Rattus norvegicus: one gene and its partners. The protein of the gene in region 2 purifies or fractionates together with the protein of the main gene of each other region. This does not show direct contact. Links are inferred from orthologs where the notes say so. Each region holds a gene or a part of one and is shown on either strand. Other genes may lie near its edges.

The links. Proteins that work in one complex are often made in the same cells at the same time.
Region 1: the proteins of Cdca4 (region 2) and Ppp2r2d purify together in Homo sapiens (affinity purification with mass spectrometry; 3 studies listed by BioGRID and IntAct, counting the BioPlex papers as one, with this or other methods). This does not show direct contact. The link is inferred for Rattus norvegicus from reciprocal best matches to the Homo sapiens genes CDCA4 and PPP2R2D.
Region 3: the proteins of Cdca4 (region 2) and Ppp2r2a purify together in Homo sapiens (affinity purification with mass spectrometry; 4 studies listed by BioGRID and IntAct, with this or other methods). This does not show direct contact. The link is inferred for Rattus norvegicus from reciprocal best matches to the Homo sapiens genes CDCA4 and PPP2R2A.
Region 4: the proteins of Cdca4 (region 2) and Ppp2r1a purify together in Homo sapiens (affinity purification with mass spectrometry; 4 studies listed by BioGRID and IntAct, counting the BioPlex papers as one, with this or other methods). This does not show direct contact. The link is inferred for Rattus norvegicus from reciprocal best matches to the Homo sapiens genes CDCA4 and PPP2R1A.

Annotation. Positions count from the first base shown.
Region 1 is NC_086019.1:203,126,582-203,130,068, reverse strand, and holds the end of Ppp2r2d (serine/threonine-protein phosphatase 2A 55 kDa regulatory subunit B delta isoform), read right to left. Parts: intron 1,023-3,487; coding exon 743-1,022; 3' UTR 501-742; downstream 1-500. UniProt on the Homo sapiens protein: Substrate-recognition subunit of protein phosphatase 2A (PP2A) that plays a key role in cell cycle by controlling mitosis entry and exit. Involved in chromosome clustering during late mitosis by mediating dephosphorylation of MKI67.
Region 2 is NC_086024.1:137,719,853-137,724,081, forward strand, and holds the start of Cdca4 (cell division cycle-associated protein 4), read right to left. Parts: upstream 2,801-4,229; 5' UTR 2,520-2,800; exon of another isoform or gene 2,047-2,519; intron 1,234-2,046; exon of another isoform or gene 987-1,233; coding exon of another isoform or gene 975-986; intron 1-974. UniProt on the Homo sapiens protein: May participate in the regulation of cell proliferation through the E2F/RB pathway. May be involved in molecular regulation of hematopoietic stem cells and progenitor cell lineage commitment and differentiation.
Region 3 is NC_086033.1:45,383,906-45,387,405, forward strand, and holds part of Ppp2r2a (serine/threonine-protein phosphatase 2A 55 kDa regulatory subunit B alpha isoform), read right to left. Parts: coding exon 3,417-3,500; intron 2,623-3,416; coding exon 2,453-2,622; intron 1-2,452. UniProt on the Homo sapiens protein: Substrate-recognition subunit of protein phosphatase 2A (PP2A) that plays a key role in cell cycle by controlling mitosis entry and exit. Involved in chromosome clustering during late mitosis by mediating dephosphorylation of MKI67.
Region 4 is NC_086019.1:69,219,698-69,223,197, reverse strand, and holds part of Ppp2r1a (serine/threonine-protein phosphatase 2A 65 kDa regulatory subunit A alpha isoform), read right to left. Parts: intron 2,708-3,500; coding exon 2,607-2,707; intron 1,621-2,606; coding exon 1,388-1,620; intron 687-1,387; coding exon 539-686; intron 433-538; coding exon 277-432; intron 1-276. UniProt on the Homo sapiens protein: The PR65 subunit of protein phosphatase 2A serves as a scaffolding molecule to coordinate the assembly of the catalytic subunit and a variable regulatory B subunit.

The DNA of each region.
Region 1 (3,487 bases), on a different chromosome or scaffold from region 2:
GGAGTTTCTACAGAAACCAAGTGGCAATTTGGGATAGTTACATGTAGAATCTGAAATTCTGTATAAACTCAACCATTCTGCTAAAGGAAAAAAGTTCTCAATTTATTCCAAAGTATAAATAGCCTGAGTACTTTCATTATGTGCAATTGAAACAAATAAAGACTGCAGTGGCATTTGGATTTAAAAACACTTCACAGTGTGCTGTGTTTATTAAGTAGCTCCACAGAAGGTGTGATGGCAGGTGCAGTGGGTGAGGAGAGCTGCCTGAGCCTGCTCGGGCACAGCCATGCACCACGCACCAGCGGTGGGTGATGCAGCCCACTGGGGCTCCAGGGCCAGAGAGGAACGTGGGTGGTGGCCACACCATGTCCAGGATAAGGCCCAGGGATGGATGGCAGAGACAGAGGTAAGAGCTGGAGAGATTTGATGAGATTTTTTTTCCTCTCAGATGTTAGTTTTTTGGTCTAAAAACTGGAAAGGAAGGCTCAGACTTAAATAAATACATTTGAGTAATGGCCTTTATTGAGCAGAGTCCACCAATTCAGCTTCAAGTAGGTTTTCCCTTCAGCAGCAGCACTCATCTCTCCCAAGGCTCCAGCTGAGACCCCTTCTTCTCCTGTGTCTATGAGGGAAGTAGAAGTGCGTCACTATTCTCAATGGAGAGGACAATGCCTTTTTTGGACAGGAAAACGACCGGCTTATGTATGTATGCAAGACAACACTTGGTCCTCCAGTCAGTTCCTTAATTAATTTTGTCCTGGAATATATACAAGTTATTGGTGGCAGCTACAGCAATAATGCTCTCCATGGGGTGCCAGGCTGTGTGAAGGATCTTCTTATTGAAGTCCAAACTGTCCACGCTAATCTCATCCTTCTTCCTCTTACCCCCTGAACACACTTTCCGGGGCTTCAGGCTGGCTCGGGGCTTGCTGTTCTCTCTTGAGGCTTCCAGTGTAACATCCCTCCGAGTGTTTCTATCAAACATTCTAAAGAAGTTGTTGTAGGACCCCGTCATAATGGCACTGTTCAGGAGAGAAAAGAGGGGACACTGAGTACCTAGCAGGACCATGGCAATGGCATGAACCAGGGTAATGGCATGAAGTATGGACCCTCTACAGGCCCACATTTCTACATTATCAGGAAAGAAATGTAGTACAGGTTCTGCAGTGAACTTCACTTATTTTCATGTCCAAGTAAGAAAAGTAATGGAGCCATAATTTAAATACATTCCCACCAAGGAAGTAGCGTGTGTTGGATGCCTTGCAAATGTGAGCTGTCTGACATGGGGGCTGAGAACACAACTCCTCTATCTCTCTCATCTAATTAACGTGTAGAAGAATTAGGAGAGGAGAGGAAGGAGAAGCAGGCAGACTGGGGCGGAGAAGAAAGGAGGGATGAGGAAGAAAGATGAAAATTTAACTCCGGCCAAATCACTTTTAGTCTAGCACCTGGGAGGCAGATCCGAGTTTGAGGCCAGCCTGATCTAAATTTCTAAGTTTCTTTCAAAGCTAGGTACAGTGGAGGTGTACATCTGTAATCCCAACATCAAGACAGCTGAGGCAGGAGGCTGTCACAATTTGATCCATAATTTTGGAAGAGGTCTTTTTTTTCTATATTTTAGAATGTGTATGTGGTTTGCAAGCTGATGCTAGTATTGGGATTGTAGGCAGTTGCCATACACTGAGGAACCACCCTCCCCACCTCTCCATTTTGTTTTGGGTTTAGAAACAAGATTTCATATAGCATAGGCTAGCCTCAAACTTGTTATATGCCAGAGGATAACCACCTACTCCTGATTTTCCTGTACGTGTATAAGTACAGAGGACACAGGTGTATGCCACCATGCCTATTTCTATAGCAGGTTAAAGGTCAGGTTGGGTTACAAAATACATAATGCTGTTTCAAAAAGACAAAACAAAGGATATTCCACATGGCTCTTTGACTTTTCCGCCAAGTGAAGACCAACCAATCTCTTCTGCCTTCTCCTTGGAAACCCTCAAACTCTCCTGTTCCTATCCTGACCTCCATGGTCTTGCTGTCTTAGAGCTGCATGGCTAGTGGTCTTTACAATGCCTAAGTTCTTCAAGTTACTACATTGCTCGGGATTCTTCCTAGCTGCCTGTAAATATTTTAGCATCAGTTAGCCTTACCTCAAACTCCATACCAAATAAACTTACAGAAAAGCCCTGTTACAGCTACTCTTGTTCATTCAAATCTGTTCAAACAAGCAGCACCAGGGAGGCTGGAGATGAGAGCCATGGCTGGTACACTCTGGAGAGAGCACCTGAAATAAGTGTGCAGAACTGTGTTTGCAGGAGAGGACCCACTGTTACAATCCTCTTCGATTTATTTCCATGTGGAATTTGATGCTTATGGAAGTAGGGGTGAGGCCATTAGCAATTGCAACAAGAACAAAGAGCACAGTGGCCAAAAGTATTTCTCAGGAAGAAGTGTGTCATCGGCATGGGTATGAACTGCTGGTGCACTGTATAGCAGCAGGTGCCTGCACTGAAGTGGGCATCTCCTCACCTACCCAGCACCTGAGTGCAGCAGGAGAAGCAGGTAGCCTGGTTCAGGTTTGCCCCACCCAGAAACAGAACAAAACATGGTGCAGGTAACTGTCTCTTTGCTGACTAAAGTGGAACACTGAAATGCAGAGCTTCACAGGCATTGACAGAAGACGGCGACACTCCACTCCACTCCACTGAGACACAGAAGCTTCTGAGCAAGAAGATGGAGGAAAGGACTGCAGGAAATGAAGGGATGGAGCAAACGTTACCAGGAAAACTTTCCATATTCTTGGGGATGTGCTGCAGTATTTCAGATACAATAGAGACCATTAGCTGTAAGCCATCTCTGAGATGGTTACAATCTACAAAGTACCTTTTAGAAAGACATCGCCTCAAAACAGATGGGTGTAACTTCCATGCAGCTGTATTTTGAATATAACAGATCTTTTTTGTGTTGCTGGGCTTTCAATTTCAGGACCTTTACAGCTTCAGCAGATGCTTTACCACTAAGCTATACCCTCAGTCCTGTTACTAATTTCGTGATCCAGCTGGTCTTGTTCACTGATGCCCAGTGCCTTTTTTACACACAAACAATTTAGCTGTGTGCTCCCCAACAGTCAATAAGCGGGTTGGCTGATGTTTCAGGTTTCTTGTCTTTATTGTGCAAGATCTTCCCACTATACTGATGTTAGCAGAATGCCACAGGAGGCCAGGCAATACGACTAGCCTCACTCCTCCTTGACACTGTATTTCCCATTGTTCATTCTCCTTGTGGTCTTTCTCATTATTATCATCTTCTTTTCCGAGGCAGGTTTTTACTGTATGTAGCTCTGATTAACCTGGAACTCACCTTGCACATCAGGGTGACCTTGAACTCAAGAGAGCCACCTCTCTTTGTCTCGTAATTGGTAAGATTAAAAAGTATGCACACACATGGTAGCCATTCTTAAACTTGTAATTGATATATTATGGACATT
Region 2 (4,229 bases):
CTGTTCTCTAAGAAGCACTCACCTCCCCGTGTATATTTGCCATCAAACTGCTTCTCCTGACTTACTAACTTTGCAAATTAAACTCTGCTCTCTATCCCTTTCCCTTAGGGTCTAGACAAGTCTTACACAGCAGGGGTTTAACCAACACACTCCCTGTCTTGCTAGGAGCAGATACTGTCCTTCTGTCTTGATTATCATCCTCACATTTAAAGATTTTTAAACAAGGAAGGTGGCTGGAGAAATGACACATGATAAAGGCTGGGTACCCAGAACTCACACAATGGCTAATGACTCCCTATACCTCCAGTTCCTTGGATCCAGTGTCCTCTTGCGGCCTCAGAAGGTACACACACACCAATAAAAAAGTAAAATAACTAAGCCCAGAATGAAACACTGTTGTTTGCTTATCTGTCACTCTAGAACACAGTCATAGAGAACAGGATGGTGACAGAGTAGCTTCTAGCAAGAGAGCAAGAGGAAGGAGGGAGCCTGAGGGTGAAGGTCTGCATCACCAGCACAGGTTCTGACTAGCCCTAACTGGTGCCTGCACAGGGGCTCTCCTGTACCCGCCTGGGCACAGCTTCCTGTGGCCTTGTGTGCCTGACCTGATGTTGCTTAATCCTTCTAATGAAAGATAACAGGAAATTCTCCCTGCTAAATTCTGTATAAATTATGTTCCATATCTTACACCTCACTTCCAGATGGCCAAAAGGTCTTTTCAAGTCTAGGTAAATGTGTAACATCCCTTCAACCCAAAGCTAAGTCAACCCACAATCCTGTCCTCTGACTTTCTCCCCCACAAGCACTGGCTGAGTGACAAGAGCCAGGAACTCTTGGGAGCTCAGACACAGTGTTGAGGCCAGCAGAGGCCAGTGGACAGTGAGGAGGAAGAGAATGTTAACTACCCATACAGCAATCTGAGGTAAAGAGACCGCCTAGGACTCCACAACCATCCTATCTTGGAGCAGGCCTACCTCAGTGACCATGTGGAAATGCAGCTTCCTGGGCTCTGACCAGCCATTAGTCTTGGCTTTATCTGAGCAGACCTAGCACAACTCGGGCTGGGACTGTAACCACAATCCAGCATTCATCTGATGCTGGGTTTTAAGGAGAACCAGAAGTTAGTGGTTTCTGGGCTGGGTATGGTGGCACACTTGGGAAGCAGAGAGAAGGGGAGCAAGGTTGTTTCTGGTTGCACTGTCAGTCTGAGGCCACCCTGGCCTGCAGGAAATCCTGTCTCAAAACAAACAAACAAACAAACAAATAAACAAATCACAACTGCATTAAAGTACCTCCTCAAAGTGCAACTGGAAGAGGAACAAGTTGGAAAATGCTGGGTCAATGAACTTAACGGTCATTTGATGGGAGTTTTTTGTCCCACTGTGTCCGCTTCACACTTTGTATCAATGGTTACTAAAAAACCTTTAGCAGAGTTACCCTTGGAAGGATGTGGAACTTTCTTATGCCTGAAGGTAGGTTCCAGTGACAATCTGAGGGAACCTTCCTGATCTCCTTCCTTTTAAGACTAGCACCTCTAAAATGGGGGAGATTTCTGAATGCATTTTTAATTTCATCCATAAAACCAAACAAGGCTGCAATGCAGGAGGCTGATGAAACATCAAACTTTCTGCGTGCAGAAAATGTTTCCCAGAATCATTTAAATCAACGGCAAGCTCAGCTCTGTCTTCTGGTAGGTCAGATACAAAGGCCACCAGGAGAAAATATACGGGTGCTGTACATTCGTTTCAAGTTCTGGAAGAAGCCCCTTCCCTGGTGACCCTATCTAGGGGAGAAAAACTTTAGAAAAGGTTCCTGGAGCTTTTTTTCCTAGTTCCATTTGGCCTCAGGACAAGCTACCGAAGACAGAGCCTGGTTCCAGTCGAGTTCCACCGATGCCGTTCCAGGTAGTATCTATTGGGCCACAAATGATCATTTTAAAAGGACGTGGAGTCTATTGCAGTAGGGGAAGAACAAGCAACACAAGACACTTCTCAGGGGAATTAAAATCCAAGAAACAAAGGGAAAGAAAGCAAGGCCAACACTCACCAGGCAGGCGACTGCACGGAGTCCACCCAGCCCTCTCGGAATCGGTCTCTGGCTAGCAGACAGACGCTCGGGGCTAGAAGCCAGACAAAGTCCAGTCCCCCCAAAACTGCTGGCCACGCGCAGCTCTTAAGGGACACGCACAGCACCGGCGGCCAGCCCGAAAGGTGAGACGGAGGACCGACGCGGGGTGAACCAAAGAAGGGGGGACAGAGGAGAAAGGAGAGAGGAAAGGCCACAGGAGGAAGAGAGAGCGGAAGCAGGGGAGCGTGGGCGGAGGGCGGGACGGCCAGCTCAGACCCGCCGCTCCGGCTCTCGGTATGTGTCACTCAACACGCCGCGTCGTCCTGAGCGCCGAAGGTCGGCCGGCCCAGGAGGGCCGAGGACCCTGCCGCCACCCGACCGCCCTGGAGGTGCCTGCATGGACGCCGCCCAGGCCTCAGAGGCTCGAAGGAGCAAATCATCGACACACTCACCGGCGCCGCAAGGCAGACCCGCCACTCCGTCTGGCCCCGGGATCAGTCAGTGCCCACAAAGGGTCGCCATGGCGCCGCCGCGCGAGCGCCGATTGGTGGCGTGCGGGGCGGAGCTTCGTTCAAACCCACGCAAGGCGGAGCCTCACCGGCGGAGTCTCCCGCGCTTCGACTTCAGCCGTTAGGCTCGCGCGCTGGGCCGCTCCTCCCCCCGTTCCCATGTCTCCCCGCGCCTCGCCCCGCCCCCGATCCCTTGTCCGTCCACAGCTCGACCCCCAGTTCCCAGGGTTCCGCGCGCCCGGCTCCCAGGGTTCCCCGCGCCTGGCCACCGCCCCAGTTCCCAGTTCTCCCTGCGCCTGGCCACGCCCTCAGGGCGCTTGCTCACGCCCCCTCGCAACAGCTCCGGGTCTCCTTAGTTTTCTGTTCCCTTCTGGCTCCCAGGTTTTGGCAAGCTTAGTTCTTTTGGTGGCAGTTAGTGCCAGGCCTGGGCACGGCTGTTGTCTCCACCTTCTTTGAAACATAGAAGTGTTAAACAAGGCTTGGTGGTGGAATCCCTGAACAGGTCCTGGTTCGAGTTACAACTCAGAAAAATTATATAATGTCCTGGTAGTGCACTAGATCTTAACGAAGACACCAAGTCCCGACGCCCTTGATGAGGGGAGGGGGAAGTGAATGCAGAATGTCCAGTGGGGATGCCGCATTAACACATGGAGCAAGCTCGTTAGCTGGGAAAGACTGGAAACTCCTGTCCACCTGAACTTCTAGTGAACGAGTGTTGGAGAGAAAAACCGGTGCCGTAAGAGAAATTAAACAACTATTCGCATCGTGCCTTTGTGGTTCCTCGCCTAAGCTCACTAACCCATTCCCATTCCTGGGCGTATTTTTCCCTTATTTGATGGAAAGGAATGCCCTCTGAACTTAGACCTGGATAATAGCATTGAGCATGGTTTTCCTTTTGAATTACTATTATTTTTGGATTTACTTAAACGACAGTGTTTCACCTGCACGTATGAATTAAGTGATTGTGGGCTTCACTGTGGGTGCTGAGAAGGGTACCAGGTCCTCTGTCAGAACATCAAGGATTCTTAACTCCCAAGTGTCTCGAGCAAGAAGGTAGATAATGTGTGGTTTGTATAGCAAGTAGTGTAACAAAAGTTATATTTTATTGTGCTGAGGGTCATCACAAGGTTCGCACTCTAAATTCCTAACTGTGGTCCTAAGCCTGTCTCCCCAACGCTGCTCCCTTGTCCTAGGTATCCTAGCTGAAGGTCGGGTCCAGCCTCTAACAAAGTCTCAATCCTGGAAGGGCCAGGATCCTGGGGGAGACTCTCCAGCTGCAGGGCAGACCAGAGCATTGCTTAGTCTCTGTTTACGTACTGTCCAGTGGGTGTCATGGGGTTTATGAGTGTCTGATTATCTTGAGTGAGTGACATCACTGGGCTCTGGTTAGCAGGTGCAGCCTTGGGTGTAGTGGGGTTTCTGACTAAGCTATTTTTTTTTTTTTTTGGTTCTTTTTTTCGGAGCTGGGGACCGAACCCAGGGCCTTGCGCTTCCTAGGTAAGCGTGACTAAGCTATTTTTTACATGTCTAAAATGCATTTCTTACTGTGCTCATTGCACTGAGGCATCTGTCAGGCCCCTGCTCCGTTTGGAATCACCTTTGCTTCGTTATGCGGGGTCAGATGATTACTTGCAGGAATCACTTTTTCCTACC
Region 3 (3,500 bases), on a different chromosome or scaffold from region 2:
ACTTAAAGAGTGAGTATACAGAATCACACATCCCTTTAATAGTACTATTTCTCTTAATCTTGACAAACTCTTAGGCAGGCCCACTTTCCTGTGATACAACTAAGAAAAAAAAACCACCTTTCTGGGTGCACTGTACCCTGATAAGAGGTATGAGACTAGGGGCGGGCTTTGAGGTCTTAAAAGCCCAAGTCAGGCCCAGCCTCTCCCAGCTCCTGCTTGTAAATGCCACTGCTCCAGCGCCAGGCCGGACTCACAGAGATCTGCCTGCCTCTGGCCCCCACCCCACCCAGGTGTCTTGGTCACAGGTGTCTCTTGACATCAATAGAACACTAAGGGAGACCACACCTAAGTCAGAAAGTAATTGAAAAGGATGAATAAGAGACTAACAAACATTGCAGCAGAATTCCATTTCCACGTCTTAGCACTCCGCCCACGACTACTAGTAGGAATGCTGCTTCCTTGCCTTTAAGTACCATTTTCTGAGCACAAATTTAATTTTGGCCAATTAGTTCCAAAATAAATATACAGTGCAGCAAGGCTTCAGTGATGGTTCAGTGATGAACTGGTTTCTCTTGGCTTTCATGTACCCACATCACTCAACAGAAATTCAGTGGTGGGCAGTGAGACAGATGACCAGTAATGCTTGCCATGATGACCCAAGTCCCAAGATACATAGTAGAGAGAGCAAAATCCTGTAGGTTATTCTGACTCTCATATGTATGCACATAGTGTACTCATGTACATACACACAAATAAATACAATAAAACATGAATATCACTTAATATTATTTATTCAGCATAAAAAGGTAATGAAGACATATCTCTTGAAATTATTATTCTACATTTACTAGTATTTCACAAAGAGTAATTTTGGAAAGTCAATCAGATAAACATAAAAGTAAGTAAACCTTCGACATAAAAGGCAGTCAAGCATGGCACATCTCTACACTGATGGTACTTCCCAGTGTTTGCTGAGATTATTAATTATCAACCGTTCCTGTTTCACTGAATGAGACCTTTAGGAAGAAGAAATGACAGCCACCAGTAGGTGACATGTTTAATTTATGCTGCTCAGGTTGGTCTCAAACTTAGGGGGCTCTAACCTCCTGCTTCGTGTTCCTGAGTTCTGGTATTACAAGTGTGCATTGCACACTCAGACCTAAGCTCAGTATAAATGTCCACTGTACTTGTTACAAGCAGTGAGTGATTCTAGCCATGTTTATATAACATTAAAAAAACTTCTTTCCCCCTCTTGCCTTCTTGCTCTTGCTTTGTCCTCTTCTCCCTACCCCCACCTCTCCACGTGCTCATGGCCAGCCTCTACTCAGCTACTCTCTCTGCCTTTCTCTGTCCCTACTGCCCTTTTAACTCCCCTCCCCATATCCTGAATAAACTCTATTCTATACTTAAAAAAAATATATATATATATATATATATATATATATATATATATTGTTTTTTTTTTTCGAGACAGGGTTTCTCTGTGTAGCCCTAACTGGCTTGGAACTCAGAGATTCACCTGCCTCTGCCTCCCAAGTGCTGGGATTAGAGGAAGGCACCACCATCACCTAGCTAGTGGAACTGCAACTGACATATTAATGGGAAGAAAAACAAAGAAACACCAAAAATAGCCTTTAGTCCCACAGAGTCAGCAAGATGACCATATAATGCAGACAGGACTGTGAAGCTAGTCTCACTGCCAACTTAAGAAAGACAGCTACAAAATGTAGCTCTCCTTGCCACTGCCAACACTTTGAAAACAAAGCACGATTTTCTCTCTTTGTGTCAATGCAACATATTTAGAGGTTTGAAAAATTAAGACTGGAGGAGTGTCTCCTAATTGTTCTGTATGTACACCGTGCATGTCCTGAATCCAGAGCAGTCTGACTGTTTTCTATACCTTGCTCCATAGGCCCTGCTGGACTGACTTGTGCTGCACTGTGCAACTCAGTTTCTCCTGCCTGTGATGTCACAGATACTGGTCAAGGATAGAAGCTAGCTGACAGAGGGAGAAACCTGCATGTACATTTTGCACTGGAGAAACTTTCCTAAAGCCGTAGGCTGAGATTTCAGATCCTTTAAAACTTGAGACAGTTAGCCAAAAAGGAGCCATGACTTGGCTGCTCAGATTTAAGCTCTGACTCACTATTACCCACACTGTTTGGGGTGTGCCCTCTGCTAAGAGTGTTCTCCCCAACCCTGTGCCTACCTCCACTTCTCACTCTCACAAACAAAGGAGCACACCAATTTGCCAGTAATGAACCACATGAGTAACAAAATTAAGTGTAACCCTGAACAGACAATATACTTTACACCGGCGATGGTAGCATATTTCATGACTCAGATTCTGAGAAAAGCTAGTCAACAGTGTAGCACTCCAAACCCATGTAAGGAGCACCCCAACACACCTCCCACAGGTACACACTCTTCAAAAGAAACAGCCTGCAAATACCTGGTATGTCTCCACGGGCCTGTTTTCCATATTCAAGTCCCAAACTTTGACTGACAAATAGTCTCTAGTCATCATATAGCGACCACTGTGGCTGAATTTTACATCAGAAATTGAGGAGATGATTTCAGAAAAAAACGACCTGTTGCTGGGATCTTCGGGTTCTTCAAACACTGAAAAAGAAGGGAAAATGTTTCATATTTGGGCTTGGATAAATCATTTTCCAAAGTAGCCACTCAAGTGAGATAAAAATCACAGGCTAATCCAGAAAAATTAAAACATTTTGCCAGCTTTAGGAACATGTTTCCTCACAAAGTCTTTTGAGAGAAAAGTATCAATACAAAGTGCAGAATCCTGCTAATAAGGTAGGATTCTGGTTCTGCAGAGGACTCCCAAGGTTCTTTACCTCAGTGCACACCCGACGCCACTGCCTCTATAGCATCACTCTGGAAACCACCACCAACCCCACCTATCTAGGATTTTGTCAACTGGAACATATTTGGATTTTTCAATGCAACCAAAGCCAAGAAAATAATTTTACAACCCCCTTGTTTGGATTTTAAAATAGTTTATTTACTTTTATTTTACTATGTGTATGGTATGTATTGATGTGTATGAAGAGTGTGTGCAGAACAAGGTGTTGTTCCTTTGGAACTGGTGCCACATACAAACAGCTCTGAGCCGCCCCAGTCTTCTTCATTGCTGAATCAGGTCCCCAGCCTCATTCATTTAAAAGCTCATGTTTCCTCAACATTTTATAAAGATGAGAAAGACCATTCTTGGAGACGAAATGGGAAGGGAGGAAAGGAAGGAAGCTCTAACTGATATCATACTACAGAGTTTGGTTATACCTATACCCGACAGACCCTCCTACCCTGTGGGCTCCCTGTGGAATACCACAGACACACAAGCCCAGGTCAAGTCTGAGTAGATGACCATTTTAAAGAAAGGGCAGAAACAGACTTACGTTTAGAATGCCTGTCACAGAGTGCAGATGCCCTCATGTCACATAAGCGAATGGTCCCTTTACTGCTGCTGTACACAAACGTGT
Region 4 (3,500 bases), on a different chromosome or scaffold from region 2:
TGACAACTATTACTGGGGCTGTGTCTTTCTTAGGGAAGTTGTGAGTTCAGGAAAAATGCTTTCATGGAATTGAAACTTGGCTTCAAAATCATTCTCATTACAGCACTTTGATTCAAATCACCCACAAGGACTGGCTCTGGGAGATGATTCGGTTGCCCATTAAGACTCAGGACGGACTGCTGTCCTAAAAAATAAAGCATGTCATCTCCTATATGTTGCTCCCTCCTCCCCTCAGAAAGCTTCAGTGTTCCCATCTGTGGAACTATGCCAACTTACCTCTGTGAATTTGTCTGCCACCATGTAGCGGACACGCCAAGACTTGTCCTCAGCAGCCTGTCGCAAGGTGGGCATCACTAAGGCCTCCAGGTCCTCCTGGGGCAGAAGCTGGGCGATATTCACGCATGCCTCTACTGCCAGCAGCCGCACCGAGTCCTGGGAAAACACAGGGAGGGGCAGGGAAGCAGAGGCCCACTGAGCCTTAAGGGTGCATTCCTTCCTCAGCTAGCAAGGGCATGGTGAGAGTTGGTGACTGGCTTACCTGCTCGTCAGAGGCCAGGTTAGAGAACATGGGAATGATCTCACTCTTGACATTGTCCAGCTCCAGTACCTTGGCAAACTCCCCCAGCTTGGAGGCAGCGGCCCGCCGCACCATGGGGGTATCATCTGAGCACAGGTTCCGGAAGTACCTGGAATTGGATGGAGGCCCAGAGTTGGAATCCTGGAAAGCCCTACCAGCTGGTGTCACAGTATAGCACAGCACAGAACAGCACAGCACAGAGCACTGCTGGGTCTGCAGTAAATTCTGGTGCTGACAATGGTGACTTTGTACAATTCATGACCTCTTTGTCTTCTCAGCTCTATAAATTGACCAATGGCAGTAGCAAGTCCCCACAAAGCTGACTTGAGGTCTCAGTCAAAGAGTACAACACAGTACTAACAACTGTTTAAAATGCAAATGACTCGTCTACCATTTCAGGAGCAATTGCCTCCTAAGAACTAATGGAGACATACAGCACGTGCATATATATATATATATGTGGCTTTAACCCAGTTGTATGAAGTGACAACTCAGAAACTTTGGCTTATTAGGTCTGAACAACAAGGCAGTTATCAAATGAGGGGTCTAAACCTGGGGCAGGCTGGAGATAACACTAGATACTATTTGTTGTATTGTATTCTGCTCCAAGCCCACAGGTATAACTAATGGTAGGAATAAATTTCCATGAAGGCAGAAAAGGAAAATTCGATGCTGAGGTATGGTGTCCAATGATCACTGTGAAGGACAAGCCTCTTTGAAGAGAGCTAGGAGCAGGGAGGGAGTAGGGAGACATCAAGGACATTAGGCTTAGAGGAGGGTTTAGGTAAAGTGATGGGAATGAGAACTCACTGTCGAAGTTCTGCCTTCACGGCACTGGATACTCGGGGGTAGCAAACTGAGAAGAGACCACAGGCTGAGGTACGGGAGGTGAACCAGTCTCCACCCGCCAGCCGCTTCACCAGAGGCACAAAGTGAGCCTCTAGATCGGAAGGTGAGTGCTCATGAGAGATGGCCCGCAAGGATTCTACCGCCTTGTCTCGCACTACTGTCTCTTCCACTGTGGCCAGTGACTCAAGAGGTGGCTGTGATGAGAACAGAAGGTTAGAGACCAGTGTTTTTCTTACTGTTTCAGTTGTGGAACCCTACCTCATGGCCTGACTGGAGGGAGACTCCTCTTATCTCCCCAGCCCCATGCTTGTGATAACAAGCTTCCTACAAGGATCTCTTAAGAGGCCCATGTGTGTGTGTGGCTCTCAATATACAATAAACACTAATGATGCGGCTCTAATACCCATGACCTAGGTTTCAGATACTGTATTGCTCACCTTTTTTTGATCAAAACTCCTTCTATGTGAGTCTTGTAAAACAGTTTTGATACTATCCTCATTAATCAAAGAGCAGGAATTGGAAGTATATAGGTTATGCAATTTGCCTAAGCTGCTAACAGCCAAGATCTAAAAGATCACTTGGTTATCCTTCCGTACCTAGCAGGTCCTGTCAGGATCGGATTCTGTTGGTGTTTCTAGCTGTCACTCAACAGAGATACACAGATGGTTTGGTATAGTATGGTATGGTACGGTGCAGTACGGCAAGGTATGGTATAGCCTGGTGCAATCAAGCAAACAATCTTGACAATGCATGATTACTAGCTAAGAGTCCCTGATGAGAGATGGCTTAACCTACTGGTACTCTAGGTGGTTCAGCCATCAAGTGAACCTTGCAACCCAAACTGGTAGATAACATATCTTACACAACCATGACAACCACAAAATCTAATTGTGAATACTTACTATAGTACTCTTAAAGTCATACCAGTAAATAATAGAACCTGGCCCGACCCAAACTCAAAATCCTATGGGTGGAATGCCACAGGGTCCTAGTGTGGTTAAGTTTGCAGAATGGATGGCGACTATAGATTAAATGACACTACTGACTTGAGTGAAAGTTACATCCAAAGGTAATCCATTCTGAGGTCACATCCAGCCTTCCTAAATCCTCTGCTTCTTGGACCACCATTCTAACCCCAAGGCAGAAAAGAGGATTAAGAAACTTCGCAGCTTTCACTCACCAGCAGACAGTGCACATACTCGGGTCCTCCCACCAAAGTGGTGAAGGTTCCCAGCTGTTCAGCCAAAGCCAAGAGGACCTCATCTTCATCATAGATGGTATCTGTGGGTCAAAGACCAAGCCCATTAAAAACTCAAGCCGAACCAGTAACCCAAGCTTCCAATAAGCAAAACCACTCAGCTTCCTCACTGTCAGCACCCCTATCTCCCAACCTGCCATTCCTAATCATCATCTACCTGGTGAGCAGAATAAGTCCAAACACCATATCTGCCTTTTCTGGCCCATGCTAGGTGTGGGATGGTAACTGAGTAGCACAACTGCTGTAACCTCAATTTTGGGTTCCTCTCAACAGGGACAAAGACCACATAGATAAATGCAACACAGGATGTTCAGTAAAACTTTAAATATGCAGGAACTCACTTTCAGGAGTTATGTCTTCAACCAGGAAATTCTTTTCTACCTTTGATCACCTGTGCCCAAGACTAGATTTGGTGTGCTCCAGCTCCTGCCAGAGCCAGAATGGAATGTGAATGAATGAAATGTCAGGGAAACAAAGCATACTGCCCAAACTCAAAGGTAGGTGTGTGTGTGTGTGTGTGTGTGTGTGTGTGTGTGTGTGTGTTTCCCCCAACCCCCTCCCTGCCTTTGCTGAAGGAAACACTGACCTCCAGTGGAATGTAAAGCATTCTAGCATTCTCTACCTTGGACTTGCCATAATAGCGCCAAAAAGAGCAGCCTCAGAAGAAACCAGGACCAAGGCTATTGATACCCCGACTTCACACTTCCAGATTCAAGAACAGCAACAACACAGCTGTTGAACATGTCCAGTCTGGGGCTTTTGTCTCTAGAAAACTAAGTTTGTTGACTTTCCCTCAAGAAACTAGCTGAGGGGCTG